Macaca mulatta: one gene and its partners. The protein of the gene in region 5 interacts with the protein of the main gene of each other region in a pairwise test. Links are inferred from orthologs where the notes say so. Each region holds a gene or a part of one and is shown on either strand. Other genes may lie near its edges. The genes, in order: NPM2, PRR13, PTMS, ZRSR2, SDCBP2, ZCCHC17 and LYAR.

Evidence for each region.
Region 1: the proteins of SDCBP2 (region 5) and NPM2 interact in binary tests that used the Homo sapiens proteins (3 or more experiments, as listed by UniProt). The two-hybrid records come from large-scale screens. The link is inferred for Macaca mulatta from reciprocal best matches to the Homo sapiens genes SDCBP2 and NPM2.
Region 2: the proteins of SDCBP2 (region 5) and PRR13 interact in binary tests that used the Homo sapiens proteins (3 or more experiments, as listed by UniProt). The two-hybrid records come from large-scale screens. The link is inferred for Macaca mulatta from reciprocal best matches to the Homo sapiens genes SDCBP2 and PRR13.
Region 3: the proteins of SDCBP2 (region 5) and PTMS interact in a two-hybrid assay, tested with the Homo sapiens proteins (2 studies listed by BioGRID and IntAct). The two-hybrid records come from large-scale screens. The link is inferred for Macaca mulatta from reciprocal best matches to the Homo sapiens genes SDCBP2 and PTMS.
Region 4: the proteins of SDCBP2 (region 5) and ZRSR2 interact in binary tests that used the Homo sapiens proteins (3 or more experiments, as listed by UniProt). The two-hybrid records come from large-scale screens. The link is inferred for Macaca mulatta from reciprocal best matches to the Homo sapiens genes SDCBP2 and ZRSR2.
Region 6: the proteins of SDCBP2 (region 5) and ZCCHC17 interact in binary tests that used the Homo sapiens proteins (3 or more experiments, as listed by UniProt). The two-hybrid records come from large-scale screens. The link is inferred for Macaca mulatta from reciprocal best matches to the Homo sapiens genes SDCBP2 and ZCCHC17.
Region 7: the proteins of SDCBP2 (region 5) and LYAR interact in binary tests that used the Homo sapiens proteins (3 or more experiments, as listed by UniProt). The two-hybrid records come from large-scale screens. The link is inferred for Macaca mulatta from reciprocal best matches to the Homo sapiens genes SDCBP2 and LYAR.

What each region holds. Positions count from the first base shown.
Region 1 is NC_133413.1:23,669,819-23,673,763, reverse strand, and holds the start of NPM2 (nucleoplasmin-2), read right to left. Parts: upstream 2,801-3,945; 5' UTR 2,395-2,800; coding exon 2,371-2,394; intron 2,369-2,370; exon of another isoform or gene 1,779-2,368; coding exon 1,688-1,778; intron 1,559-1,687; coding exon 1,473-1,558; intron 1,344-1,472; coding exon 1,218-1,343; intron 1-1,217. UniProt on the Homo sapiens protein: Core histones chaperone involved in chromatin reprogramming, specially during fertilization and early embryonic development. Probably involved in sperm DNA decondensation during fertilization.
Region 2 is NC_133416.1:60,591,756-60,595,843, forward strand, and holds the start of PRR13 (proline-rich protein 13), read left to right. Parts: upstream 1-1,288; 5' UTR 1,289-1,383; exon of another isoform or gene 1,384-1,391; intron 1,392-1,493; exon of another isoform or gene 1,494-2,170; intron 2,171-2,278; 5' UTR 2,279-2,298; coding exon 2,299-2,317; intron 2,318-2,796; coding exon of another isoform or gene 2,797-2,860; intron 2,861-3,004; coding exon 3,005-3,378; intron 3,379-4,088. UniProt on the Homo sapiens protein: Negatively regulates TSP1 expression at the level of transcription. This down-regulation was shown to reduce taxane-induced apoptosis.
Region 3 is NC_133416.1:7,727,907-7,732,074, reverse strand, and holds the start of PTMS (parathymosin), read right to left. Parts: upstream 2,801-4,168; 5' UTR 2,437-2,800; coding exon 2,284-2,436; intron 1,456-2,283; exon of another isoform or gene 1,107-1,455; coding exon of another isoform or gene 1,062-1,106; intron 351-1,061; exon of another isoform or gene 1-350.
Region 4 is NC_133426.1:15,480,108-15,483,607, reverse strand, and holds part of ZRSR2 (U2 small nuclear ribonucleoprotein auxiliary factor 35 kDa subunit-related protein 2), read right to left. Parts: intron 281-3,500; coding exon 172-280; intron 1-171. UniProt on the Homo sapiens protein: Pre-mRNA-binding protein required for splicing of both U2- and U12-type introns. Selectively interacts with the 3'-splice site of U2- and U12-type pre-mRNAs and promotes different steps in U2 and U12 intron splicing.
Region 5 is NC_133415.1:82,831,960-82,835,459, forward strand, and holds part of SDCBP2 (syntenin-2), read left to right. Parts: intron 1-2,183; exon of another isoform or gene 2,184-2,252; 5' UTR 2,253-2,271; coding exon 2,272-2,325; intron 2,326-3,028; coding exon 3,029-3,098; intron 3,099-3,500.
Region 6 is NC_133406.1:209,563,716-209,567,710, forward strand, and holds the start of ZCCHC17 (zinc finger CCHC domain-containing protein 17), read right to left. Parts: upstream 2,801-3,995; 5' UTR 2,728-2,800; exon of another isoform or gene 2,722-2,727; coding exon of another isoform or gene 2,602-2,721; exon of another isoform or gene 2,589-2,601; intron 2,303-2,588; exon of another isoform or gene 2,209-2,302; intron 2,054-2,208; coding exon of another isoform or gene 2,042-2,053; intron 1-2,041. Other genes in the region: SNRNP40 (U5 small nuclear ribonucleoprotein 40 kDa protein), read left to right, coding at 3,052-3,192.
Region 7 is NC_133410.1:8,736,146-8,739,343, reverse strand, and holds part of LYAR (cell growth-regulating nucleolar protein), read right to left. Parts: coding exon 2,832-3,198; intron 2,128-2,831; coding exon 2,041-2,127; intron 1-2,040. UniProt on the Homo sapiens protein: Plays a role in the maintenance of the appropriate processing of 47S/45S pre-rRNA to 32S/30S pre-rRNAs and their subsequent processing to produce 18S and 28S rRNAs. Also acts at the level of transcription regulation.

The DNA of each region.
Region 1 (3,945 bases), on a different chromosome or scaffold from region 5:
CTCTCTAGTTTGCCTACCCTGGAATAGACTACAGGGGACCATGTGATGGTAGGAAGGCCCAGCAATTAGAATGGAGCCACAGACAACTGTCACCTATACCGGAGTAGCAGGGAAGATGATGAGATGTGGTCCATCGGGGTATAAGATGGAGGCAGAGATGACAGGACTGCTGGTAGATCAGATATGGGCATGGGAAAAAAGACGGGTTGGCTGGGTGTGGTGGCTCATGCCTGTAATCCCAGCACTTTGGGAGGCCAAGGTAGGTACATCACCTGAGGTCAGGAGTTTGAGACCAGCCTGACCAACATGGCAAAACCCCATCTCTACTAAAAAGAAAAAAATTAGCCGGACGTAGTGGAACATGCCTGTAATCCCAGCCACTTGGGAGGCTAAGACGGGAGAATTGCTTGAACCTGGGAGGCGGGGGTTGCAGTGAGCTGAGATCGCACCATTGTGCTCCAGCCTGGGTGACAGAGTGAGACTCCATCTCAAAAAAAAAAAAAAAAAAAAAGGAAAGGAAAAACTGCCATTATTCAATTATTATATGCATAGAAAACTTGAGACGAATTATTAGAAACTACAGCATTTCTGGATACACAACCAATATGTAGATCGACCATGTTCCTGTGACTAGCAGTGAATGGTTTAAAGCAGCAGCCTCCAACCTTTTTAGCACCAGGGAACGGTTTCCTCGAAGACAATTTTTGCATGGATGGGGTGGGAGTAGGGGGTGGTTTTGGGATGAAACTGCTCCACCTCAGATCAGGCAATCGATTCTTATAAGAAGCATGCAACCTAGACCCCTTGCACGCACAGCTTACAATAGGGTTCATGCTCCTCTGAGAATCTAATGCCACTCTGATCTGATGGGAGGCGGGACTCAGGGGTAATGCTGGCTAGCTGGCTGCTCACCTCCTGCTGTGCCGCGGGTTCCTAACAGGCCACAGACGGATTCTGGTCCTTGGCCCGGTGGTTGGGGACCCCTGATTTAAAGTGTAATTTTTGCAGACAGCTTAACTTGCCTAAGGTCACACAGCTCTAGGAAGGGGTGAGCTGGGCTGGACCCCAGCTTTCTGCATGGGCTGTGCTACCTCCCTGGCATGGCTCACTTCTGTAGGGTGAATGCACCCTCGTGTGTGTCCATCCCCACCCAAGAGTGAGGGTGAGGGTGAGGCTGGGGCTGGCAGCAGTTTTCCTGCCAGCAGGGAAAGGCCCACCATGGGGAGGACTGAGGCCTGGAGCGAGGCAATGGTGACCGGCTGCATCTTCTTGTCCTCCTGGTTTGCTGGGGGCAGGATCTCCACGCGATGCATCTCTTCTTTGGCTTTCTCTCCCAAGCAAATCTGCGCGGGTTTGAAAATAGACAGAGGCCCCTCATCACCCTGAGGGCAGACGGGAGAAACCCATAGTCCTCTGTTGGGACCAGAAAGTCTCCGGACTCCATCCTCCTCCCCTCTTTTGGGAACACCGACCGTATGAAGCAACAGCCTGCAGTTCTGCTTCCCCTCCAGCTGGGGTCTGAAGGTCCAAGTCCGCCTCTCCTGACTGAGTTCGCAGCCTGCGGAGGAGAAAGGGAGGGAAGTGGGGCCCTCTATTCGTTCCCGAGGGAGGGGCTCACCTGGGCCCCAAGCTGCCGCGCACCGGAGGTGGGGCGTGGCTCTGGGAAGTAGCCTGAGTTCCCACTCACCCCAGAGCACGGTCGTCACTGCCTTTTCCTCCGTGCTGCTGGCGCTACTGAGATTCATGGCTCCGGGCGGAGAAGCAGGGTGGCCGGGCAGCTGCAAGGAGGGCGCCCGCGTGAGGCCTTGCTCCCTGACCCTGACCCTCGACTGGAGGATGCCAGAGGCCGGCAGGCATCGGCAGATACTGAGGCGTCGCTCGCGGCTGGAGAGCGCCCGCCAAGGTCAAGGGCTCACCGCCAACTCCTGGAGGACGAGTACCCACCTCCCAGCGGGGCGCGCAGCCCGGGGCTCGGCCGGGCGCGGAGAGGACCGCCGGACTCACGCGAGAGGGAGCTGTCCACCGAGCCCAGGCTTGAAAGCCCGCGGGGAGGTCACCTGGCTGCGCTTGGGCCTAACTCAAAAGCCTCTGTGCACCTCCACCAGGCGCAGAGAAAGGGGTGTGCGCGCGGCTTAGGTCCCAGCTCCCCCCACTCAGCCTTACTGTCGCTGCTTCGCGCGGGGCCAGTCACGCCATTGGCGCTCCCGGAGCGCAGCGCAACCTCATCCCCGCTGGCCGGAGGGCTGCTGCCCAAGGCCGGGCTAAGAAGCCTTGGAAGGGGAAGGGCAGGTGTCCAATCAGCCGCAAAGAAGCCGCCTGCCTCTCCCCTTCCCTTCTCCCATTGTTTCCTCCTCTGCGCGGTAGAATCACCTGGAGGGCTGTTAATGTGCGCATCGCTGCGCCCCACTCCACAGCTGCCCTTGGCGTGGGTCTGGGTGGGGCCGAGGGAATTTGCTTTTCTAACCGGTTCCCAGGTGAAACTGATGATGCCGGCCCAGGACCCTTCGTGAGAACGGCTGTCCGAGCCAAAGAGGACCCGCCGAGGCCTACTGGCGACCCCTCCCCAGCCCATGGAAAGGAAACCTTAGCCCAACTTAGGAAGGGAGGCCTGCAGCTGGCAGGAAGCGGCAGTTAGAAGCGCTCCTTGTTCGTTGCCTTTCTTCCTTTCCTTTCCCTATGCCTTATACAGCATGGGCCTTTCCTAAGGCCCAGACAGCCCGTCCTTCCAGTCTCCAATGAGAGAGAGCGAGCCCTGTCTCCAGAACGGTGAGATCTCCCGCGGAGAGCCACAGCCCGCAGGTGGGGTGGGGAGGGGAGCAGGGAGGCTCCGCGGCAGGGGGCGGGGGGCACACTGGGGAGCACGGCTAGCGACGCTACAGGGCCAAGCACGTGACCAGCAGCGGGTCCCAGGCTCAGTAGGCAGTGAAGAGAAGGGGGGGTTTCAGCGGATATACCCTGGAGACACCTCAGATAACCAGGGATCTCCCGCACACCTCTGGGGCAGGGGCTCATTGCTACGGAGAGGTCAGAATCTTTTATTCCTGGGAGCTGGGGTCAACCTCCCTGTGAATTGGCCAGGACAACCCAGGAGAGGCTTGGGGGCCTGCCAGGGCCCCCTAGGCTCCCTGTCCTCAGCTGAGCAGTTCCAGTCTCCTTGACTGTCCCTGAGATCTCTGTCCTTGGCAGGGGGCCTACTGGAGGTGACAGCCATTGCAGCCAAGTGTGTGGTAAAGATGAGCAAATTGCAGGCACATGCATGCCATGCACAGACGTTCAAGTATTCACTCAACAAACGGTGATTCCGCCAGCCGGGCGGGGTCTGTGCATCCCGCAGTGAATACGAAACAGCCCCTCAAAGGGCTTCCAGCCTCATTGGAGAGTAGGGCTCAAAGCAAACCGGTCTTCAGTGGCCCCAGGCCACCCTCCCCGTGAATAATCACACTGATGTGAGGCTGCAGCTGGGGTTCACAGTGAAGGCTAAATGGAGGCAGGGGAGGGGGATGACCCTGAGGTCATGACCTAGAGCTGGGAGACTGGAACTGGACAGTCTGGGTTCAAGTCTGGACTCTGTGATTTCAGGTGTGTTAATTCATGTCTCAGTGCCTCAGTTTCTTCATCTGCTAAATGAGGCTATAATACTGGTACCATCCTCATTAACTTTTTTTTAACTGATACATAGTAATTGTACATATTTACGGGGTACATATGGTATTTTGATACTTGCACACAATGCGTAATGAGCAAATCAGTGTAACTGGGATATCCATCACCTTCAACATTATTTCTTTTTTTTTTTGGAGACAGAGTTTCACTCTCATCACCAAGGCTGGAGTGCAGTGGTGTGATCTCAGCTCACTGCAACCTCTGCCTCCCGGGTTCAGGCGATTCTCCTGCCTCAGCCTCCCGAGTAGCTGGGTTTACAGGTGCCCACAACCATGCCCAGCT
Region 2 (4,088 bases), on a different chromosome or scaffold from region 5:
TTACCCAGGTTGGAGTGCAGTGGCACGATTTCGGCTCACTGCAACCTCCGCCTCCCGGGTTCAGCGATTCTCCTGCCTCAGCCTCCCAAGTGGCTGGGATCACAGGCACATGTCACCACGCCCGGCTAATTTTTGTATTTTTAGTAGAAACGGGGTTTTACCATATTGGCCAGGCTGGTCTCGAACTCCTGACCTCGTGATCCGCCCGCCTCGGCTTCCCAAAGTGCTTGGATTACAGGCATGAGCCAATGTACCTGGCCACTTGTATTGTTTTCTTTAAAAAAAAAAAAAAAAAGTCTGGGCGCGGTGGCTCACGCCTGTAATCCCAGCACTTTGAGAGGCCGAGGCAGGCAGATCACGAAGTCAAGAGATGGAGACCATCCTGGCCAACATGGTGAAACCCCATCTCTACTAAGAAATACAAAAATTAGCCGCGCCTGTAGTCCCAGCTACTCGGGAGGCTGAGGCAGAAGAATCGCTTGAACGCGGGAAGCGGAGGTTGCAGTGAGCTGAGGTCGCACCACTGCACTCCAGCCTGGCAACAGAGCGAGACTCCGTCTCAAAAAAAAAAAAAAAAAAAAAAAAAAAAAAGAGGCCATTGTAGCAATTCAGGGGAGAAATGAATCCAGGCGAGAGATGATGGGAGGTTTAGACCAGGGAAGACGGAGAGAAGTGGAGAGATTCCAGATGTATTTGTGAGACAAAACTGGTAATTTGGGGTAAGGGAGGTGAAGGAGACAGAGGGATCACGGAAGACCTCCTTGGTTTCTGGTTTAGGCTTCTTGACAGATGGCGGAGCTATGCAATTGAGAGAGGGAATCCTGGGAGAGATTATGAAATCTCTGTATTTTCCGCAAGAATGTTTGTTTGCTTCCCTTGCGAGTGTAAGAGGGAGCCGAGAACATTGAGGCTTGGGGCTAGGACTCAGCAGCTCCTCTGCCCTTGCCGAGAACTCTGTCTATATCTGTATTACAACACTTACCATAGTGTATTCACTTTACAAGGTATTGCACCCAGTGAACCATGACTAGCAGAGAGCAAGGGCAGAGTTTCTTCTCGGTGTCTCTAGGACTTTGCCCAGCAGCTGGCCCCGCCCCCTCTAGCGCTCTCCGCCTAGCTCCGCCCCCAGGAGATTTCCGGCTTCTCAGTACTTGCCTAGTCGTAAAGGGCTCCGGTCTGCAGCTAGAGCAACCGTTTCCTCCTCAGTTGGACCAGAGTGATTGATTAGTTTGTTGTCCAATCATCAGCCGAGTGGCCACATAATTACCAATTAGGCAGTAGCAGAGGCGGGTACCGAAGCACGGGGTCTGGGTGACTAGGTGTGACTAGGAAGTAAGAGCCGAGACTGCGAAGAACGCATCAAGTCCAGGCGGCGGTGGAAAGGTGACGTGGTATCTGAATTCCATGGGTTTATTCCTTTTCCCATTGCTGGGTTAAGAGCCCCTTCGCAGCTTGGGGCTAGGATCTTCATTTGCCTTTTTTCTTTTTTGGAGGAATTGGGCTGTGTCCATTTATTTAAGTATTTGAGGTTCTTGAGCAACTTCCTTCTTCGCCTCCAGGCGTATCCTTTTCTTAGCCTGAGGTGAGGTCCTCCCCAGGGAGAAAGTTGTTTGAGATCCTTTCTTACTCTGTGGGTGGTTAAAGGCCTCCGGACTCAGTTCCAGGAAAGGGGGATGAATGATGGGGGTGCCGAGACTCGCGGGCTATGCCCTCTTGCGAAGAGTTAGACGCTTCAACCTAGGTGGAGGGGCCCTGGGAACTAGATTCCTGTGTTAGGAACCAAGTAGGTATTGAGGGCGAAGAAACAAGTGGAAAGAGACATTTCTTTCTTTTTTTTTTTTTCTTCGAGGCGGTGTCTCGCTCTGTTGCCCAGGCTAGAGTGCAGTGGCGCGATCTCAGCTCACTGTAACTTCCGCCTCCCAGGTTCAAGCGATTCTCCTGCCTCAGCCTCCCGAGTAACTGGGATTACAGGCGCCCGCCACCGCGCCCGGCTAATTTTTAGATTTTTAGTAGAGACGGGGTTTAACGATGTTGGCCAGGCTGGTGTCGAATTCCTGACCTCGTGATCCACCCGCCTTGGCCTCCCAAAGTGCTGGGATTACAAGCGTGAGCCACCGCGCCCAGCCAGAAAAGAGATGTGTCTTATGTGGAAGTCGTGGTAGTTCTCCAGGTGGGAGAGCCTACTGTGGGGTGGAAGACGTTAGGGCTGGGCTCCGGTGCTAAGTCCACTTCCTACCTCTAGACTGTCATCTTTTTTGCCTCATTTCTTTCTCCTCAGGCTGGAGGACACACCTAAACATGTGGAATCCCAATGCCGGTAGGTGTTTGGGGGTTCTGTACGACCCCTAACCCTTTTTCTGATGGACTCTGCGTAACAGGAAGTTTCTCTATCAGCTGCCCCATCCCCGACCCGCCACACCCGCAAAAGCAAAGTCCTTAGTCTACAGCTGACCAGTGCTTTTTTATTTTATTTTATTTATTTATTTTTTGAGACGGAGTCTCTGTCGCCCAGGCTGGAGTGCAGTGGCGCGATCTCGGCTCACTGCAACCTCCGCCTCCTGGGTTCAAGCGATTCTCCTGTTTCAGCCTCTGGAGTAGCTGAGATTACAGGCGTGCGCCATCACGCCCTACTACTTTTTGTATTTTTAGTAGAGACGGGGTTTCACCATGTTGGCCAGGCTGGTCTTGAACTCCTGGCCTCATGTGATCTGTCCACCTCGGCCTCCCAAACTGCTGGGATTACAGGCTTGAGCCACCACGCCCCACCGGCCTGACCAGTACTTTTGTCTTCCTCAGAGTTCACTGTCTCCCTCCTCTCTCCAGCCCTTACGGGGACATTCCCCTTTTATCCTCAACTCAGGTTTGTCTCCCCTACCTTCTATTCTCCTTTGTCACTTTTCCATTTCCCTTTAAGTATTGGGTGAGAAAGAATCTCTTTCTTTTTGTTGTTTGTTGTCGGAGACTCTGGGGAATACTAATGTTTATAATCTGCTTCTTCCCCCAGGGCAGCCAGGGCCAAATCCATATACCCCCAACATCGGGTGCCCTGGAGGTTCCAATCCTGCCCACCCACCACCTATTAACCCACTCTTTCCCTCAGGCCCCTGTCCTCCTCCCCCAGGAGCTCCCCAGGGCAATCCAGCTTTCCCCCCAGGTGGGCCCCCTCATCCTGTGCCACAGCCAGGGTATCCAGGATGCCAACCCTTGGGTCCCTACCCTCCTCCATACCCACCTCCTGCCCCTGGAATCCCTCCTGTGAATCCCTTGGCTCCTGGCATGGTCGGACCAGCAGTGATAGTGGACAAGAAGATGCAGAAGAAAATGAAGAAAGCTCATAAAAAGATGAACAAGCACCACAAGCACCACAAGCGTGGCAAGGTCAGTACCCTCTGGAGCCTGGCTAGGGAAGGGGTGCCCCCTCAGAGGGACTAGGTAGGCAGGGGTTGGGTGAGGGGGATTCACATTCTGTGGACGTGGGGGATGACGATTGTGTCACTCTGGTCGATGATTCTTCCTTTTTGTAAAAGATTGCTACTGGGAAGAATCTGATTATCTTGAAAAGAAACATCAGGCTTCTCCTATCTGGGGGGAGCTAGGGTGAGCCTTAAAATAGATTTTTAGAATCAAAAGCCAAATCTTTTCTGCCCTACTCTCTCCCAGAACTTTTGCTCCCCTCCCCGCAGGTGCATATTCTAGCAAGTTGGACCCCCTCACTGACATTATCAAAACATCAATTAAAGTCATTCCTTTGACAAAGCAAAGTCTTATAATAATTAACAGAATAATAATATGGCCCTAGTTCCTGGAGTTCTTTCTCTCTTTCAGTGTTCTTAGGGCCTTGTGTTAATTACATGGGCCCTTTGCCCTATCATCCAGCAGAAAAAGTGAGGACAAGAGCAGTCAGTGACTCAGCCTCTAACAGCCTAGGACTAAGGAGGTTTTATACTCAGCCCCAAGGCTGAGTATCTTTGTTTTAGAGGACTGTTAAAAATTAGTAAGGATCATGCCTGTAATCCCAGCACTTGGGAATTATTAGCTGGGTGTGGTGGCGCATGCCTGTAATCCCAGCTACTCAGGAGGCTGAGGCA
Region 3 (4,168 bases), on a different chromosome or scaffold from region 5:
CTCGCTGGATTTCAGACATACAAAGACACCTACTCAGTGAAGTCACATGCCACCGCACAGCCCGCCGGAGGGCCACACGGGCGCACCTTGGCAGATCGCACACAGCCCCTCTCCCACCGCCGTTAATCCCATTGGCTCCCCCCGTTTCACTTCGCTGGCCTCCGGGAGACCAGTGTGACGGCCCCTCAGCAACCACCGCGCCCCAACCCGCCCCGCCACACACATACACACACAAGATAGGGCTCCCAGCCCCCAAACCCCGGCCGCGTTAATTTCCCAAAGCGACACTCCGAAGGTTCCCTGGGGAAATTAGAGAAGGCTGGAAGAGAAGCAAGGGCGAACGGATGGGGCAGGGGAAGGGAGCTGATGAGGGCGAGGACAGCTCGACGCAATGCCATGCAATGCCCAGCCTCGGCTTTTTCGAAGGCTATTCCTGCCCCGCTTCTAATTTTTAGGAATTCGAGATTCTTCCAGTGTGTATGTGGGAAAGGGACGATGAAGAAAAAATAAAGCTGAAAGCCAGCTGAGGGGAGGGAACGAGAAAACAGAGGCAGCCGCCGTCCGGGGAGAGAAGCGAGCGACGGTCGGGCCGCGGGGAGGGGCCGGGAGGAGTAGCCTCCAGGGAGAGTCCTGTTTACACTTGAGGATCTCAAACCGCTTAGCGAGGAAAGGTGAGGTCGGGTTGCAAGGAGAGACGCGGCAGCGGGGCGCAGGGAGGGGGCGCGGCAAAGTGAGACTCGGGGCGTTGGGACGGAAAGCCGGACGGGATCCGGTCAGCGAGGTGGGGCCGAAGAGGGGTGGGGACGGCTGCGGGGGCCGGCGCGACCGGAGCGGCGAGGCCGGGCGCCGTGGTGCGCGCAGGGCAGCTAGAGGGCGCTGGCGCTAGCCGCGCGGAGCCGGGAAGGCAGCTCCGGGCCGGGGAGCGGTGGGAGGGCGCAGTGGGGTCCGCCAGGACCCGGGCGCGAGGGCCGCGCAGGGCCGTCGGGGGCGACCCGGGGCGGAGGACCGCGCCGGGCCCCAGGGCCACGCGAAGTCCGGGCCGCCGCTGCCCCCGCCCGTACCTTGGCGCTCAACTCGGCCGCTGCCTCCACGCTTTTCTCCGACATGGTGCCGGTGCCGGGGCCGGGGCCGGGGCTGGCGGGGAGCCGGGGTCCCGGAGCCGAGACGGAGGGGCCCTGGACGGCGGAGGGTGGCCGCGGCCGGAACCTGGCGCGGTGGCGGCGGCGGCGGCGACAGCGGCAGCGGCGGCCGCTCGGCAAGCTGGGTCTCTGGAAGAGGCGGCAGAGGCGCGCGGGGTGGGGCGGGGGTGGGTCTGGAGCGGAGACCCGCAGGGCTGCGGCCGTCCGGAGGGCGGGCGGAAGGGCGGTGCAGGCGGTGGCCGGCGCGCTCGGCCGCGGTCGCTCGGTCCCGGGCTTGCCACCCCCGCACCAGCAGAGCTGCCGCCGACCAGCCGCTGCCGCCCCCGGGAAGGGAACCCGCTTATAAGGCGGCGCTGCCCGACGGGAGGGGCTTCCCAGGGGTGGGGCAGGCGGGAGCGGGGAGGAGAGGAGAGGGGAGGGGGATGAAAGAGGAGGTTGGAGAGGTGGGGATAGGAGGATGAAAGCGAGGGGAGGGAGAGCTAGAGAGTCGGGAGGGAGGACGAGACCAGGAGGGGGAAATGGAGAGACTGACGGCCGCGGAGAAAGAGTGGGGCGAGGAGGTGGGAAGGGGTGGGGTTCCTGCGGGGAGGCACCTTTCCAAATCCCAACCTACTGCCTGCGAATGTGGAGTCTGGCTTTTGGGGGCGGACTGGAGAGGTGGCCAGAATCCTACTGACCCCAAAAAAAGCCCTGGGATTTTGTCAAAGGGTGGGGTGAGGGGAGCAGATGGGAAGATAGGGCAGGTATTTGAGAAACCAAAAGCTTAAAGAAGAGGAATAGGGTTCGGGCGCTCCTTCCACACCACGCCGGATTTCCCCCTCTCATCCTCCATCCACATTCTCTGGATGGCCTTGAGGGATGGGAGGGCAGAAAGGGCGGCCCAGCCTTCCCTCCCGCCAGATTGACACTTGTGACCCTTGCCGGGTGCCTGTCTTCCTGTCCCCGTGCTGTGAGCTGGAGGGAGTCAGGCCCCTGGTCTCCTTTGCTTCCAGCTCTCCTCCATCTTCTACCTCTCTTATTCGCCTGTCACCTCACTTTTATTCGCCTGGTCCTTCTATTTCTCTTCATCTGTCCTCAGTCATCTGTACCCAGACCCCTCCCTCACAACCAATTATAACTCGAATCGCTCCCATTCTTCTCTCACCTCTTCTCCACTCCTTACTGACCCTCTTCTGCCCTTACACCTCTGGTCTCTTTCCCTACCTTTCCCAGACAACCCTGCTCTTGTCTTATCTGAGTCAGGCACCTGGCCCTCTATTCTTGGCTGGCTTTCCTCAACTCCTCTTTCTGTCCTCATTTTTTACATTTGCCGTCCGTTAGCTTTTCTCATTCCTCTGCTGCCATCTTCCCTAGCCTTTCTGGGTTATATTTGCCTCCTTTGCAAATATAATACAGGTCCAGGTCTGGAGTTCCAGCCCCACCCTATTCCAGACATCCTCAGCTCCTCGCCCTCAATCTCGGTATCTTTGAGTCATTTTGAAAAGCTTGGGATTTCAGAAGGGAACAGGGGCTGGGTTGTGTATTAAAGGTCAGGAAGGTGGACGGGGTGGAAGGCTGGGGTTTGGAAAAAGTCCTTTGGTGTGCGTGCACTCCTATATTTGTCTGTCATTATCATTATTCCTCATCTTATTTTCATTTTATTAATAAAAAACCATTTTGATGATCATTATCATTATTTTGTGTTGGAGTGCTTAAATACACCATCTTTTGGTCCCTTGATGTACACGCCTCCCAGTTTCTCTTTCTGACTTTTCTATCAATATTTCATTCTCAGTCTCCTCAAAAATCTTGGGGCCCCACCCAGGATTTTTCCTTGCCGGACTCTATCTTTTCTGAGATCTTTCCATGTCCCTCTCTCAATCTGTTTCTCTGACTCACTGGCTGATGTCTTCAGCCGTCTCTCACCATCTCCATCTCTGTACTCCTCTTGCTTCATTTATCTCCCTCTCCTCGATCCTTTGCTACTCCCCCCCCAACCAACCCAGTCTCCCAGTCTCGCTCCCTCCCCATCAGGCTCTTTCCTCTCCCTCCCGCCTTCCTTTCCTCTTCCCTCCACTCCACCTCCCAGCCCCGCCTGCTGTCTCGGACACCCTGCTGGGCTCTTACCCTGTTGCCCTGGTAACCGCCCCCCACTCCGGTCACCTCCACTCCCCTCCCCCCTCCAATCACCGCCACCAACAACCTCCATCCACCTTCCTCCTATTTTTCCTGATAGCCAATAGAAACCCTGTTGCCAGGTGGAATGCTCATTTGAATCAGCCAATCCAGAAGCCTAACTGCTTGCCCTGCCTTATATGGGGATGTGAGATGGGCCACTCCCCCAACTCCAGCCCCACAGGGGACCAGCCCCTCCAGTGTCCCTTCTCCCCGCCCTAAAGAGAGGCTGGGACACTCCCTCTCACCCTTCCATAAGGGGCCTGGCCTCCCACTTCTCTAACTGGGACCACCAGGGTTAGCGTGGGCTGTGGGCCGGACTGTGGGCTGGGCCTCAGGGCTGGGGGTGGGAATGAGGTGTGATTAGGGAAGGGGAGGCGGAGGGAGCCGGGAATTTTGCCCAGGGAGGGGTGTCTGGGAGCAGAGGCAGCTGCAGTGGAAAATTCCAGAGAGATGGAGAGGCAGAGAATGGGAATCCTGCCCCAAAGCCCAAGGGAGTGCCTTGAGAATCTAAGAGCTTGGACACTAGGGTCCGAGGGACCCCAGGGAAAAGGTCTAGGAAGCTGGAGGCCTGGATCGAATTCCTTTCCTGCGTGGATGAAGCATCCTTTAGCCTTCTCTCTCTGGTTGGACAACAAGCCAGTCTTCTGAAGTCTTGGCTTCATGAGAAAGAAGCTGGAAGTGAGACTTGGGATGAATGTGGAGTGAGTGGGATCTGAAAGCCACCCGACAGTCCTAGGGGTTAGCCTCAAGCCTCTGGGGCCAACGGTGTTAAATGCCTGTGTTTGCTTTTCTCCATGGAACTATTTCTGAGGCTTTGTGGAGGCTTGCCTATTCCTAGAATTACCTTACTCTACAGTCCAATTGAGAATTTC
Region 4 (3,500 bases), on a different chromosome or scaffold from region 5:
GGCAACTCTTTGTTTTTTCTTTTTGAGATGGAGTTTCGCTCTTGTTGCCCAGGCTGGAGTGCAATGGCGCGATCTCGGCTCACTTCGACCTCCCAAGATAGGCAGCTCTTCATGAGAGTTATTATGGTGAAGTAATCAGTTTGTTCACTAGTTACGTGACTCCTACCGTACCTCTTGTTCTTCTTGCCGTTTTTTAGCCGCCTCTTCCTTTTCCTTCTTTATTCTGAATTCTTCTTGTGCCTTCTGCTCTCTTAGCAACCACTCCTCATGTAATCTTTGCCTATCAGTATAATGATGTAATCAGACAAAAGAAATGGGCATTAATCCACAAATACACACACACGAGAGCAAAATGACACATTTTGGGATTGATTCAAATATCACGAAAGCTATTTTCTATTAAAGCAGTCAAGTGGGTGTAAGAGAACGAGAAGAGTAGAGCTTTTGGAAAAGCACCACGTGTCAGCAACTATCTTCCTAATGGGCAATAACTTAAAATCCCTCTTACATTTCATAGGTATATATGGCTGTGACATACTTTACAGAAAAAAAGGACACTATGACTTTCCCTCTAGACTGATCACAGTGACGTTTAGGTGCCAATAAAATGGGTAGCAAGTTTCAAAGCAGCATCTACCTTTTCGCATTCAGAAAGCATTTCCCTTCCTATTCTATGCAATTATTTTTATTTATTTATTTATTTTGAGACAGAGTATCGCTCTGTTGCCCAGGCTGGAGTGCAGTGGCGTGATCTTGGCTCACTGCAACCTCCGCCTCCTGGGTTCAAGTGATTCTCCTGCCTCAGCCTCCTGAGTAGCTGGGATTACAGGAGCCCACCACCATGCAAGGCTAATTTTTGTATTTTTAGTACAGACAGCATTTCACCATGTTGGCCAGGCTGGTCTTGAACTCCTGACCTCAAGTGATCCACCTGCCTAGGCCTCCCAAAGTGCTGGGATTACAGGTGTGAGCCACCGCACCCAGCCCCTATTCTTAAAAGTAGCAATTCCATGATGGCAGCACGCTGAAAACCCGTTATCCTCTGCCATAAACGTTTGGACTACTACTCCACACAGTTAAGAGACTCCTGTGGTTTGCCTCCAAACACCTAAACTGCCAAAAGAAGGAAAATAAAAGTACATTGTGATCATGTTTTTAAAATAAAGCTACAGGTTTTAAGAAATGAAGTTATAAAAATAAATTAGTGAGGGCCGGGCACAATAGCTCACACCTATAATCCCAGCACTTTAGGAGGCCATGGTGGGCAGATCACCTGAGGTCAGGAATTTGAGACCAGCCTGCCCAACATGGTGAACCCCATCTCTGCTAAAAATACAAAAATTAGCTGGGCAAGGTGGCAGCCGCCTGTAATCGCAGCTACTTGGGAGATTGAGGCAGGAGAATCGCTTGAACCTGGGAGGCGGAGGCTGCAGTGAGCCGAGATCATGCCACTGCACTCCAGCCTGGATGACAGAGCAAGACTTCGTCTCAAAAAATGAAAAAGTAAAAATAAACTAGTGAGTGTCTAGTCTATTTTTTATATGACCAATTATAATGAGTGGTATTACCTTAAAGTGGCAAGTGTCTCAGGCATCCAATATCACAAATTTCTAATCTAAAGCGGGGCTTAGATTTCTAAAGTCTACTTGCCAATTAGGTGTTTAGAACCCCAAATTCATTTTTCCACTGAATTTATAAAAGGGAAATGAAATATGAGAAACTGTTCTGTATTACTTCAGCAGTATCAGGAGTTCAGTAAACTTTTCTGTCTAGTCTGGGGACCTAACCACAATTTTAAATAAAACATATTACATTTCCAAATACAGATTCCAGGAACACGTCTTTTAGCCATGGCAGAGGCTGGCACACTGCCTATATCAGTGTTCCCATGCCATGTGTGAGGGCACCATACAGATGCTTCAGTGTGCACAGCTCTGATTTACGAATCTTTTGAAAAACATATAATTGCATATAACTGAACCAAATGATATATAAAGACCACAAGAAAGTAAAATGTTAAAAATTTTAAAATTTAATAACTTGAATATACATCTGCTTTGAAATAGGACATAAAGTCGTACAGTATTTTTACATAATTTTCTTGCTTTTCAACAATAGTATGCAACTCATAAAGAAATAAAGATCTAAGGAGCACAAAGATACATGTATGTGATTTAAAAGAAGCATTTCAAATAAACAGGAAGAAAATTACTTTCTTATTTAATACCATATCTATTGTCTTCATCACAACAGAAATCTATAATAAGAACTAGAGCTATCACAGCACCTCTTATCTGCTGACACTGTGTTAAACACTATACATCCATCACCTCATTTAATCTTCACAATTCTGTGAGGTGGATACTATGATTGACTTTATCTCCATAGTAAAGACAAGGAAACAGAAGCTTAGAGACATTAAGAAATTTCGGCTGAGCACAGTGGCTCACACCTGTAATCTCAGCAATTTGTGAGGCCGAAGTGGGCGGATCACGAGGTCAAGAGATCGAGACCATACTGGCCAACATGGTGAAACCCCATCTCTACTAAAAGTACAAAAAAAATTAACTGGGCGTGGTGGTGCGCGCCTGTAGTCCCAGCTACTCGGGAGGCTGAGGCAGGAGAATCGCCTGAATCTGGGAGGTGGAGGTTGCAGTGAGCCAAGATCACACCACTGCACTCCAGCCTGGGGACAGAACGAGACTCTGTCTCAAACAAAACAAAACAAAACAAAACAAAACAAAACAAAATTTAAAAAAAACATGTATCCCAAAAGAGAAAGGTGTAAGACTTGAGCAATCTACAAATAGGTAATAAAACATATAAAAAGATACTCTTCCTAATTCAGAAATGTGCATTTGAAACAGTGAAATACAACTTTTCATTACAGGAGTTGTATAAACTGCCAGTGCCTAGTATGAGTGAAGGTATGAGGAGATGGGGCCCTACATTCACTGCCAGAAGGGCTGCAAACTGCAAACCAGGAAGCCCTTTCTACCTGGCCATCTACATTTTACAGGAACTTACGCTTTGATTCCAACAATCTCATTTTTAGTCATTTTCTTAAGGAAATAATTTGACGATTACCAAGGATATATAAACATGGATGCTTACTGCAACTTTTTACATATGAGTAAAAAACCAATATAACCTGAAAGTCTATCAGTAGAGAACTATAAATTACGAATGAATAAACTACGAATAGCAAATAAATTAGGCTACTTCTGTACAGTGGGTACTGTATTGCCACTGAAATGGTTGAATTAGATCCCTGCATCAGGACTTAAATAAATGCACTATATATTTAGCAGGAAAGCAATTTATAGAAAAATACGTATAAATATCATGCCATTATAGAAAGACCCATGTAAAGTACATTTATACTTTCCTTTTCTCTTTCTTAACAGTGGCTATCTTTGGGTGTGTTGCAATTATTAAAGCCCTTTCCCTTTTTACATTTGTTAATTTTTTTGTTTTTCTTCTGCTTTCAAAAACAATTA
Region 5 (3,500 bases):
AAGCTGAGGTGGGAGGATGGCTTCAGCCCGGGAGTTGGAAATTGCAGTGAGCCAAGATAGCGCCACTGTACTCCAGCTTTGGCAACAGAGTGAGACCCTGTCTCAAAATAATAATAATAATAACAACAACAACAACAAAACAGGACTGTGAGAGGCACATTTGGGACTTCTGGTCTTTGTTTCATCCAGGAAGGTGGGTGTTCTTAGGATACTAGAGCTTTACAAGGAAAAAGGTGGAAGCCCAGGTAGAATGCGCTGCTTTTGGCAATATTATTGAGCTAGCCTCCATGCTAGGGGTTAGAGGCTTCACAGCAAAGGAGAAGCCCCTGTTCCTGCCATCTTGGAACTCCTAAGGAGGTAGACAGACAAGTAAAGAGGCAACACAGGACTCGTGAATACTCAACAGGAGTAGGACATGGCGCAGGGGCTAGGGGGAGAACAAATGAAAGCAGGCTTCCTGTAAGAGGAGCTTGCGGATCTGAGACTTGAAAATCATTAGGAGTTGGCCAAGCAAGGAGCAGGGAGAGGAGGGGTATTCCAGATAGAAGGAATAACACATGCAAAAGAGACGGGAGGGAATCACATTCAAGGATGTGAAAGTAGCTCATTATGGCTGGAGCTGAAAGTAGCAGCTGAAAGGACATAAGGCAAGAAATGAAGCTGGAGAAGTAGACAAGGGTTACAAACAAATACCTATCGGGACTTGGCGCCAGTGAGTACAATGGTCTGGGTGTAAGAGCCAATAGAGGATGGTGGACTGGGTCACCCTGGAGTCTGCTGCTACTCAATTGTAGCTACTCTGCTACAGTCCAGGGTTGCCAAAGCTTCCTGTTTTTCAGGAGCAGTGGGAAATTAGATTATTAAATCTAGTACCTTGAGCCTTGCATTTAAGCTGGTAATCTGAACGTTGACAGTACTCCACAAGGTCAAATAAAATATATTTCCATCTGGCCCTGAGCCCACCAGTTCCAATCTCTGGTGGAATCGTGAAGGCCCTGTGAGCCACTTTAAGGAAAGTACATTCCCAAGGCAGGGGAGCCACTGGGGGGCTTTCAGCCAGGGCATGACATCCCAAGTGTATACACAAAGGGCCTGGTGGCTGCTGTCTGGAGAGGAGCAGGAGGGCAGGAGGGGAGGCAGCAGCATGTTTGGAGGGTGTCGTGGCACCTGGGGAGGGCCAGGGAGATGATGGGGACCTGCACAACATGGGATGTGGGAAAGATGGGATTTGATGACAGATGAGAAGGGATAGTGGGAGTGGGGCCAACGATGACACGGGGGTCAAGGCAGCAGGTGCAGAGGGAGGAGAAGGAGCAGTGATGGATGAGGATGTCCTCGGCGCACCTGTGGTCACTCAGGGAGGTACCCAGCGGATCTGGTCCTGGGAAGCCTGGAGTCACATCACCCTGGCACAGGCCCCTCAGTTTCCTGTGCCACCAGCAGGCATTCCTTTATCATGTGTACCTATCATATGTGGGTTCAGTGGGGTGAATAGGACACACCTTGACCCCTCAGAACTGCAGTCAGGACAAGTGGTGAGTTCAGGCAGGAGGCTGCCCCAGTGCTGTCCTGGAGGGCAGGGTCCTGGATGGTAGGGGCAGTGACCGTAGTGCCTGGAGCCAGGCAAGGCATGTCCCACAGGAACCGAGGGTGACAAGGAGGTTGGACAGGGGCTCCAGTGGAAGTGGACTGCCTCAGCGAAGCCTGGGAGTGTGACAGAGCCAGTGGTTAGTGGGTAAAGGGAAGGAACCCAGAAAGGCAGACTGCTCCTTCCCCACGTTTCGTCAGGAAGGGAATAAAACATTTCTTGAGAGGTCATTCCTTTCACTTTCTCTGGGTACGTTGCTGAGAGGTCCTGCTGATTCTCCCGGAGACAATGATAAGGTGTTTAGTAAATAAGTGCTCATGGTGCCTCTCCACTCCCCGTTCCCTCCTCCCTCTGGAGCAGTGCCCTGTTGAGGGTCTAAGTTCTGCTACAGTTTGTGTGAGAGTCTTTATAAATCTCCTACTGGTCTTACTTCATTGTGGCCAAGATTGAAAGTTGACAGTGAGGCTAGAGATGGGTGGAATACAGTAGAGTTCGAAAATGGAGAGGGGATTAGGGGTGGAGTTCGGGGAGGGATTCTAAGTGTCCTGCTGCCTTCCTGTTTGAATATTAAGTTCCAACCCACTTGCTGTTGCAGATGTCTGTGCCTCCTCTCAAGGTGGCATCAGCTGCATCCTTATCCTTCCCCACCCTCTGAACTCTGCAGGGTGTTCCAAGAATCAGCCATGTCATCCCTGTACCCATCTCTAGAAGACCTAAAAGTGGACCAGGCCATTCAGGTAAGTCACCAGACTCCACTCATCTGGACTCCCTGAAGGGGATCTTGGGGATTATCCTGGAAGGTGCTGGGAATTGGGGCCACCTGGAGATTCCCTTAGGCCTCAGGTCATGTAGGTCTCCACTGCAGGGCCTGCTGGGCAGAGAAGACATCCAGGGGGCAATGCCAATGGTGTTACAGCAAGAACGGAAAAGACCAAGCAGCTGCACACATGCCTCTCTCATGCCCACTCTGTCCTGCCCAGGCCCAGCTCTCCCTCTCTCCAGAATGGGCAGGCCCCATGCTCTCAGGCAGGCTTTCAGAGGAAACAAGGCTCGTGGGCATGGGCATTGGTCTGCTCAGCCCCCAGAAGCCCCCTTCTTCCTCCATCCCAGCACTCTGTGGTTCCAGTGGGTTTTGAGAATTTTGGACTTTGCAGCTGAGAACTTGATTGGGAGATGGGTCTTGATGTTCTGCCTGTTGCAGGCAGTAAACGGGTTGTGACATCAGTTGGGTCACAGTCCCTCAGAACCTCCTCCCAGGAAAAGACACATCCATGGAGGCCATGTTTACATGATCTTCAGCCCTGAGGGTTGGTGGACACTTCCCCCACACCCCAGGCCCACTCACAACCTAACGCCCAGACCCTGGCCTCATGGAGCTCCAGGCTCTGGGGTTCCTGGGGTCCTGGCCACAGCTGACCAGTGCTCCCTGCTCCTCCCCAGGCCCAGGCCAGAGCCTTGCCCAAGATGCCAGCCCTGCCAGTCCAGGCGGCAGCCATTTCCCCACCACCAGGTAGGTGAGCTGGAGTGGGGGGCTCCTGGGTGCCCAGTCCTTTCAGGGAAGAGGTCATCAGGGAAGCTTGGCAATGCCAAAGGTATGGGAGGCTCCAGGGTTAAGCACTCAACATGGAAGGAGGAGAGGACCAGGCTCCCAGTTGCCACCGACCTCTTACTGCCTGGTTGACCTGGGCTGAGTCACCTCACCTCCTAGGGCCTGTGCCCATGCTATTCCCCTCCCTCCTTGACTGCCCAGTGAACCTGTTTATCCTTCTAAACCCAGCTGAGAGTTAGCAAAGCTGCGGCCTCTCTGGTGCCCCCAGCAAGGCTGCCTTGAGAATGTGATATCATTTGTGGGGCCTCTGTTTATACAAACGATTCGAGTCACCATAAATCAGCATGTCAGCACCGTCTGGTG
Region 6 (3,995 bases), on a different chromosome or scaffold from region 5:
TCAGGGACAGTTGCAGACAACAGAACCCATTTAAGCAGAAAGGGATGTACTGCAATAACAGACTTTGGCAGAACTTCCAGGAACAACACCTAACCCACAAAATAACACCACCTTTGCCACAATCCAAGAAAGTTATGGCTATTACTGCAGCAAGTCACCAAACCAGGGAGCTGTTGACTGGAGAACTTACTGCCATGACTGGCAGCAAAACTGGATGACTCATACCCTCCTTCTCTCCACATTTAACTCGGTTCCAAATTCAATTTTCACCTTAGATGCAAAGGAGTCTAGAAAATGGTTTTTAGTTTTCCAAATTTTTCAGTAAGAGAAGACATATTAGAGGTTAGAATGTGTCTTGAGCAAGCGATGTCCTTGCCATACCCAGACAGGTTTTCTCCATGTATGCACTAAACCACTGAATATGCTGGAAAAAAGTTTTTAATTTTTTTTTCCTTGCATCCTACTATTTCTCTAGTAACCTCATTCTCCCACACTCCACAATGACTTTCAAATCTTCTACAATATTCTCAAATTTCTCACAATTGTATCCTCAATTGGATCCTGGATAATCCCTTATCTCCATCAGTTAGCGCATCCTCTCCTCCTCTTTACAATCATATCTATGAAACATACTGTGTAGGTTCACTACCTACATTTTCTTGTCCAAATCCTTGCCTCATATCTGGCTTTTTGCCCAATCACACCAACAAAATAACTCTTGCTAACGTTACCATGACCTCCACAATGATAAAAGCCAAAATATATTTTTCAATCTTCATGTTATTTAAATTCTAGAAGTTTCTATCACAAATCATTCTTTTGCTTCTGAAACATTCCTCCAGTCTTCCTTCCTTCCTTCTGTATCTCCTGTAGGTTGATCCACCTGTTCTTCACCATTAAATGTTGGAACTAGTCAAGGTTCTGACTTAGGTGACCTTATCCACACCTATGGCTCAATTCACATACATACAAATTATCCCCAATTTTATATTCCCAACACAAATCTCTCTTCTGAGCACAAAGCTGTGTTTCAAACTGCCTCCTGGATATCATGAATGACCCCACACAATCAATCAATCAGTCAAAACTGGTCTCAGCTGGGAGCAGTGGCTCAAGCCTGTAACCCCAGAATTTTGGGAGGCCGAGGCATGTGGATACTTGAGGCCAGGAGTTGGAGACCAGCCTGGCCAATACGGTGGAACCCCATCTCCAATAAAAATACAAAAATTGGCCGGGCATAGCGGTGGCGACTGTAATCCCAGCTACTGGGGAGGCTAAGGCAGGAGAATTGCTTGAACCTGGGAGGTGGAGGTTGCAGTGAGCCGAGATTGTGCCACCGCACTCCAGCCTGGGCGACAGAGCAAGAACCTGTCCCCCACAAAAAAAAAAAAAAAAAAAAAAAAAAAAAACACAAAAAAAACTGGTCTCTAGTCGTCTTCTAGTGTTCCCTATCCAGCTTGGGGGATTCCGTGATAGTGAGTAAATGGTACCACCATCTATCTATTCAACTACATAAGCCAGAAACCTATGAGTTACCTTTGATTCCTGTCTTCACTCACTAAAATCAACCCTTCACCAAGTTCCGCCCATTTTACCTCCTACATACCTCTAGAATCTGTCCAATTCTCTGCAGTTCCACCCACTTCTCAGTCCTCACTGACATCTCTGACCAGGATTACTGTATATCCTAAGTGGTCCACATGTATCGACTAGGGCTTCCCCAGCCCCAATCTGTTCACACCACTGAGCCTGAGAAATCAAGCCCCCTCCTCCACCACACCCCACCGGGGGAAGACGGCTCAGTGGTATCCCATCCGTTTTAAAATAAAGCTACAAATTCCTGCAAGGTCTGACCGCTATCACGTACAGCTTCATCTTGTACCATACTCCCCTTCATTCTCTTTGTATCAGTCACACTGGCTCTTTGTGCTTTTAGTCATTTTTCCTCCCAAGTGCCTCAGGGCTCTGAACAAGTAGTTCTCTACGGAAGGTTCTGCCTTTACCTCTTCACTTAATTAATTACAATTCTTCCTGCAGCTACCAGAGCAGGCATCTTTTCCTCTGAAAAACCTTCCTGCTTATTTCAGGCACTCAGCATCAAACAGCACTAGGAGGCATTTCCATGTATTAGTGAGGTCATTGTTTAACGTTTTCCCCACCAGACTTAAACGCCCTGAGAGTAGGGACCGTGTCTGGTTCACGACGTACCCCCAACGCGCTGCTAAATAAATATCAGCTGGACGACTGACGCAATGACCACGTTCATGGGCATGAGTCTCAAATTTCTCAACAAGACTGCGCTCTGGAGAAGGAGTCGGACATTTCCTTCATCATTGTCTCTCTCAGGGGGGCAGAGACTAGGCCCTAATCAAAAACTGCAAAATCAGTGGCAGAAACAAGTCAGCCTCCTCGGCCAAACGGGGCGCCGGAGGAAGTTGGGACACAGGCCTTTCTCCCTGGGAATGCCCGGCACAGGACTGGCCACGACGGGCGCTCTTGAAGAAGGGAGCCGCAGGGACTGGGTCTTGCCGCCAGAGACCCCCAAGGCTCCGCTCCCGCCCGGAAAGGGAGCCCATGCTACTACTTACCACAGCTGGGGACTCGGGGCCCCGCCTCCCACCCCTTGCTATCGGCACCCTCAGCTGAGAAGGGCAGCTTCAGACTGCACAACCGAGGCGTCGCCTTCAGACTCAGGCTGCCACCCACCCAGCTCTTCCTCATACGTACTAGGCGTCAGCTCCAGGCCCCCGAGTCCCGGCGCTGAACTAAACGCCGAGCCCAGTCAGCCAGCGCGTTTCCACCCACAAGACCCAGCGCGCCTAGGGAGGTCGCCAGCTCCGTCCACCAATCCTGGAATCGCACTCTCATGACGTCAGAAAGATATGCCCAATAACAAGAGACTATCCGAGGGCAGTGCAAATGGGTATATTGAAAACCGATTGGTTCTTCCAAGCTGGAAGTTGTGGAGGAAGGACTAAGCTGGAACCAATTGCGTGGCGCCTGAGGGGGGCAGCGCGGTCAGTGGCGGCGCTGAAGAGACCGGTTGCCGCCATGATAGAACAACAGAAGCGTAAGGGCCCAGAGTTGCCGCTGGTTCCAGTCAAGCGGCAGCGGCATGAGTTGCTACTGGGAGCGGGGTCGGGCCCGGGAGCCGGGCAGCAGCAGGCGACGCCGGGAGCTTTGCTGCAAGCGGTAAGTGAAGAAGCAGGCGGCCTTTGGCCCTCAGCTCATCTTCCTCCCCTCAGAGCGCTGTATCTGGTGACCCGGCACCGACCCTTCCCGCATTGCGGGGGGCAGAACGAGAGTTTCTACCTAGAGTTAAAGCACACCAACATTGTAAAAGCGCCTCATAGCCTGCGGATGCTCAGTACTTGTTCGCCCGTTTGGCGCTGGTTTTCAGCCTCTCGACTGCCTTGTGAGGTAGCGTTAGAATTAGCGTTGAGAACCTTGGGCTCACAACCCGGACCCGGGCTTAAGCATCCTGACTCTAACATGGATCTAGCGTAGAACAGAAATTCCGAAGACTTTGTAGAATGAATGAATGAGGGAGGGAGGAAAAGAGGGAAATGATTGGTGTTGGCTCGTTTTGGGACTTTGGGCAAGTTGCTTTTCCCTTTATTTCTCTGCACTAGTATTATTAACAACTGAATAGCAGCTAACATTCGTTGACTCTTGTACTAAGGTGTTTCGTATATGAAATTTCCATTGATCTTGGTAGCAGCCTGTTAGGAACGTTATTAACCCATTTTGCAGATGGAAAAGCAGACTTATCAAGCACGTGATAGAAACAGATGTTGAACTGAGAAACCATGCTCCTAACTATATTTTTTGTAAGATGGAAATAGTGATCACACTTCTAATGCCCTGTTTAGGCTCAGACGAGGAAATACGAGTGTCCTCTCATCTCCTCAATAAATCCTGCTGGCACCGTTCTCAAAATAGATCTAGAATTGCTACTTCTACCATTTCCATCACTGCCTCATGGCCTAAGCCGT
Region 7 (3,198 bases), on a different chromosome or scaffold from region 5:
AAATTAAACTTTATCAAAACAAAACCATTTGCCCTAAAAAAGACTCTGTTATGATGAAAAAACAAGCAACAGACTGAAAAAAATTCACAAACCATATGTCCCACAAAGGAGTAATATTTAGAATAAAAAACTCAAATCTCAACAGTAAAAAAAAAAAACAAAAAAATCTCACAAAAACAACCACCACCAAAAAACCCCCAAACAACTCAAATTTACTTCAGAAAAACTGACTTAGTTCACACAGAAACTTGCACATCAATATTTACTGCAGCTTTATTCATTAATAACCAGAAATTAGAAACCTCCCAGGTGTCCCTCAACAGGTGAATGATGAAAGAAAGTGTGACGCATGCATAGCATGGGATACTTCTCACCAGTAACATGAATATTATCAGTTCAGCAGCCTGGGTGAATCGTCAGAGAAAAATGCTGAGTGAAGAGTCAATCTCAAAAGGTTACATACTGTATGATTCCATTCATAGAACATTCTGAGATTACAGAAATGAAGAACAGATGAGTGATTGCCAGAGGCTAAGGAGGGGGTGGGGGTAAGAGGGAAATGGCTATGGCTGCAAGAGGGCAGCAGGAGGCAGCCTTGTGCGATGGCGATGGAAACAGAAGCGGATCAATGTCAACATCCCGGCTGAGATGCTGTACTACAGTTGTGTAAAGTGTTATCCTGGGTGGCAACAAGGTAAAGGGTACGCGGATACATAAGGACGCCTGAGTCTCCATTATGTCTTACAACTGCATGTAAGTCTACAAGGATCTCAAAACAAAAAATGTAACAACAACAACAACCAAAAAAACCGTTCCAGTTGTCCCCCTTGAACTGTAGGGATCAGAGTTCCCAGACCCCCAGTGGATACCTGAAATCACGATGGTGCTGAACCCTATATATACAGTCTTTTCCTCAATATTCATGCATATCTATGATAATTCTCCACTTATAAATTAGGCTCAGTAAAATATTAATAACTAATAATAAAATACAACAATTTTACAATACACTATAATAAAAGTTATATGAATGTGGTCTCTCTTTCTAAACACCTTATTGTACTATCCTCACCCTTCTTGTGGTGAGGAAGGCACAGAGCAGGACAGCAAGAGATCTCGCCATGCTGCTCAGAACAGCAAGCAATGGAAAACTTATCAATTGTTTATTTCTGGAATTTTCCATACCACAGATATGGGGGCACTACTGTTTACAAAGTTGAGAAGGGGGTTTTAAGCTAAGGGATCTAACCCAACGCTGGGAGTCACTGAACTCTGCTAATAAAGCTGCAGGCCCATTTGAGTCCTTGGACCTGTTCTGAACTGCGGGATCCTGGGGGTTGGGGGAAGTGGCAGAGAGATGACGACTTGCCACCTCCCGACAGGTGTGAGTGCTTCAGACCTGAGGAAGCAGGAGAGAAGCTTTGTGTAAGAGGCAGCATTTCAGAGGGCCCGTGAAGGCCAGGGACTGGATTCTGAGGTTGAAGATATAAGCAAGGAGATCACAGAAACAGGCCCAGAGATGGGCAGGGGCACAGCTGAGGGGACTTCTAAAAGGACAATGAAAGGCAGGGACGAGAGAGTTGGGGAGGAGCGAAAGGGAACGGTCTCAGAAAGCTATATTAGGTTTATTTAAATTCCCAAGATAACATACATTTCCAAACTAGATTGCTTTACTTTTCTCCTTAAAGACAGTGGGTGAGAGGCACTGTAAGACTGACTCATACACCCTAGAGAGCTGATTTTACTTTCAAATTCTTATACATGCCTCTGGAGGGTAAGACCCTATCAGAAGTTCCCGGGTTACACCTTCCTCCCCGAGAAGGGGGCATCTATCGGCCCCTCTCCCAACCTACAAGGGACCGTGCATTTCTTTTCTCTCTCTCTCTCTCTTTCTTTTTGAAAGTCGTATGCCCATGGCTCACTACAGCCTCAAACTCCTGAGCTTAAGTGACCCTCCTGCCCCTGCCTTTCAAGTAGCTGGGACTATCAGTGAGAGCCGCTGTGCGCAGCTGTGCTCTTGGAATGACAGCAGTGATATACCTTTTGCAGGAGCCTCATGGTCTTCTGGTTCTCCGCCCTCAGGATGCTCTGGGAGCTTCATCTTTTTCTTCTTAGAATCTGTTTCAACTAAGTATTTGGAAAGGTTTTTTTTAAAGAAGATTTTGCATTTATGCTAGCAGCTACCATTTAATGAGACCTTATGCGAGCTAGGCACGCTCCACATTATCATCTCATTTCTTCTCCAGGCTGCCTAGCCAGCCCCGGTTTACAAAACGCCAGGAGGGTTTTATCCTCCTCCATGCTGGAGATGGGACGAAGGGAGTTGAGAAGTGAGGTCATTTGCCTGGGCAGGGCCCAGCTCAGCCTGGCCACAAAGCTTATGCTCGTTCCCTTACTTGGTTCAAAACACAAAGTCTAGCTGGGTGCGGTAGCTCATGCCTGTAATCCCAGCACTTTGGGAGGCTGACAGGGGCGGATCACCAGAGGTCAGGAGTTCGAAACCAGCTAGACTAACATGGTGAAACCCCATCTCTACTAAAAATACAAAAGTTAGCCGGGCCTGGTGACACATGCCTGTCATCTCAGCTACTCAGGAGGATGAGACAGAAGAATCGCTTGGTGGAGGTTGCAGTGAGCCGAGATCGTGCCACTGCACTCCAGCCTGGGCAACAGAGCGAGACTCTGTCTCAAAAAAAAAAAACAAAAACAAAACATTAAAACCACACGCGCACACACACACACACAACACTAGGTCTAACAGGATTAAATACCCCAAATTCACAGCTTTCCCGGTTTTCAGACGAATCCTGGAGCGTTAGCCAGCCACTTACCTTCTGAGTGCTTCCGCTTCCTCTTTCCTGCACCCACGTTTGCCTCTTCCTCACCAGCACTGTCCTTGCGCTGCTTCTTCTTCTTGCTCCTCTTCCCTGCAGAGCCGTTGGCCTCAGGGACTTCCTCTCCACCAGCCCCAAGGTCAGCCTCCTGTCCCTTTTTACGCTTCTTAGGCTTCTGATTCCTTGAGTTTTCCTGGTGGTTTTCTAATTTTAGTTCTTTCTTTTCTCTTTTCCTTTTCTTCTGCCGTTCTTCCTTTCTTTCTCTTTTATTCTTCTTCACCTCCCCTTGCTGTTCCACGGCATCTTTCACTTTGGAGGGTGGAACCTTGGTGGAGATTTCTGCACGAGGATGTGCCACTGGGTG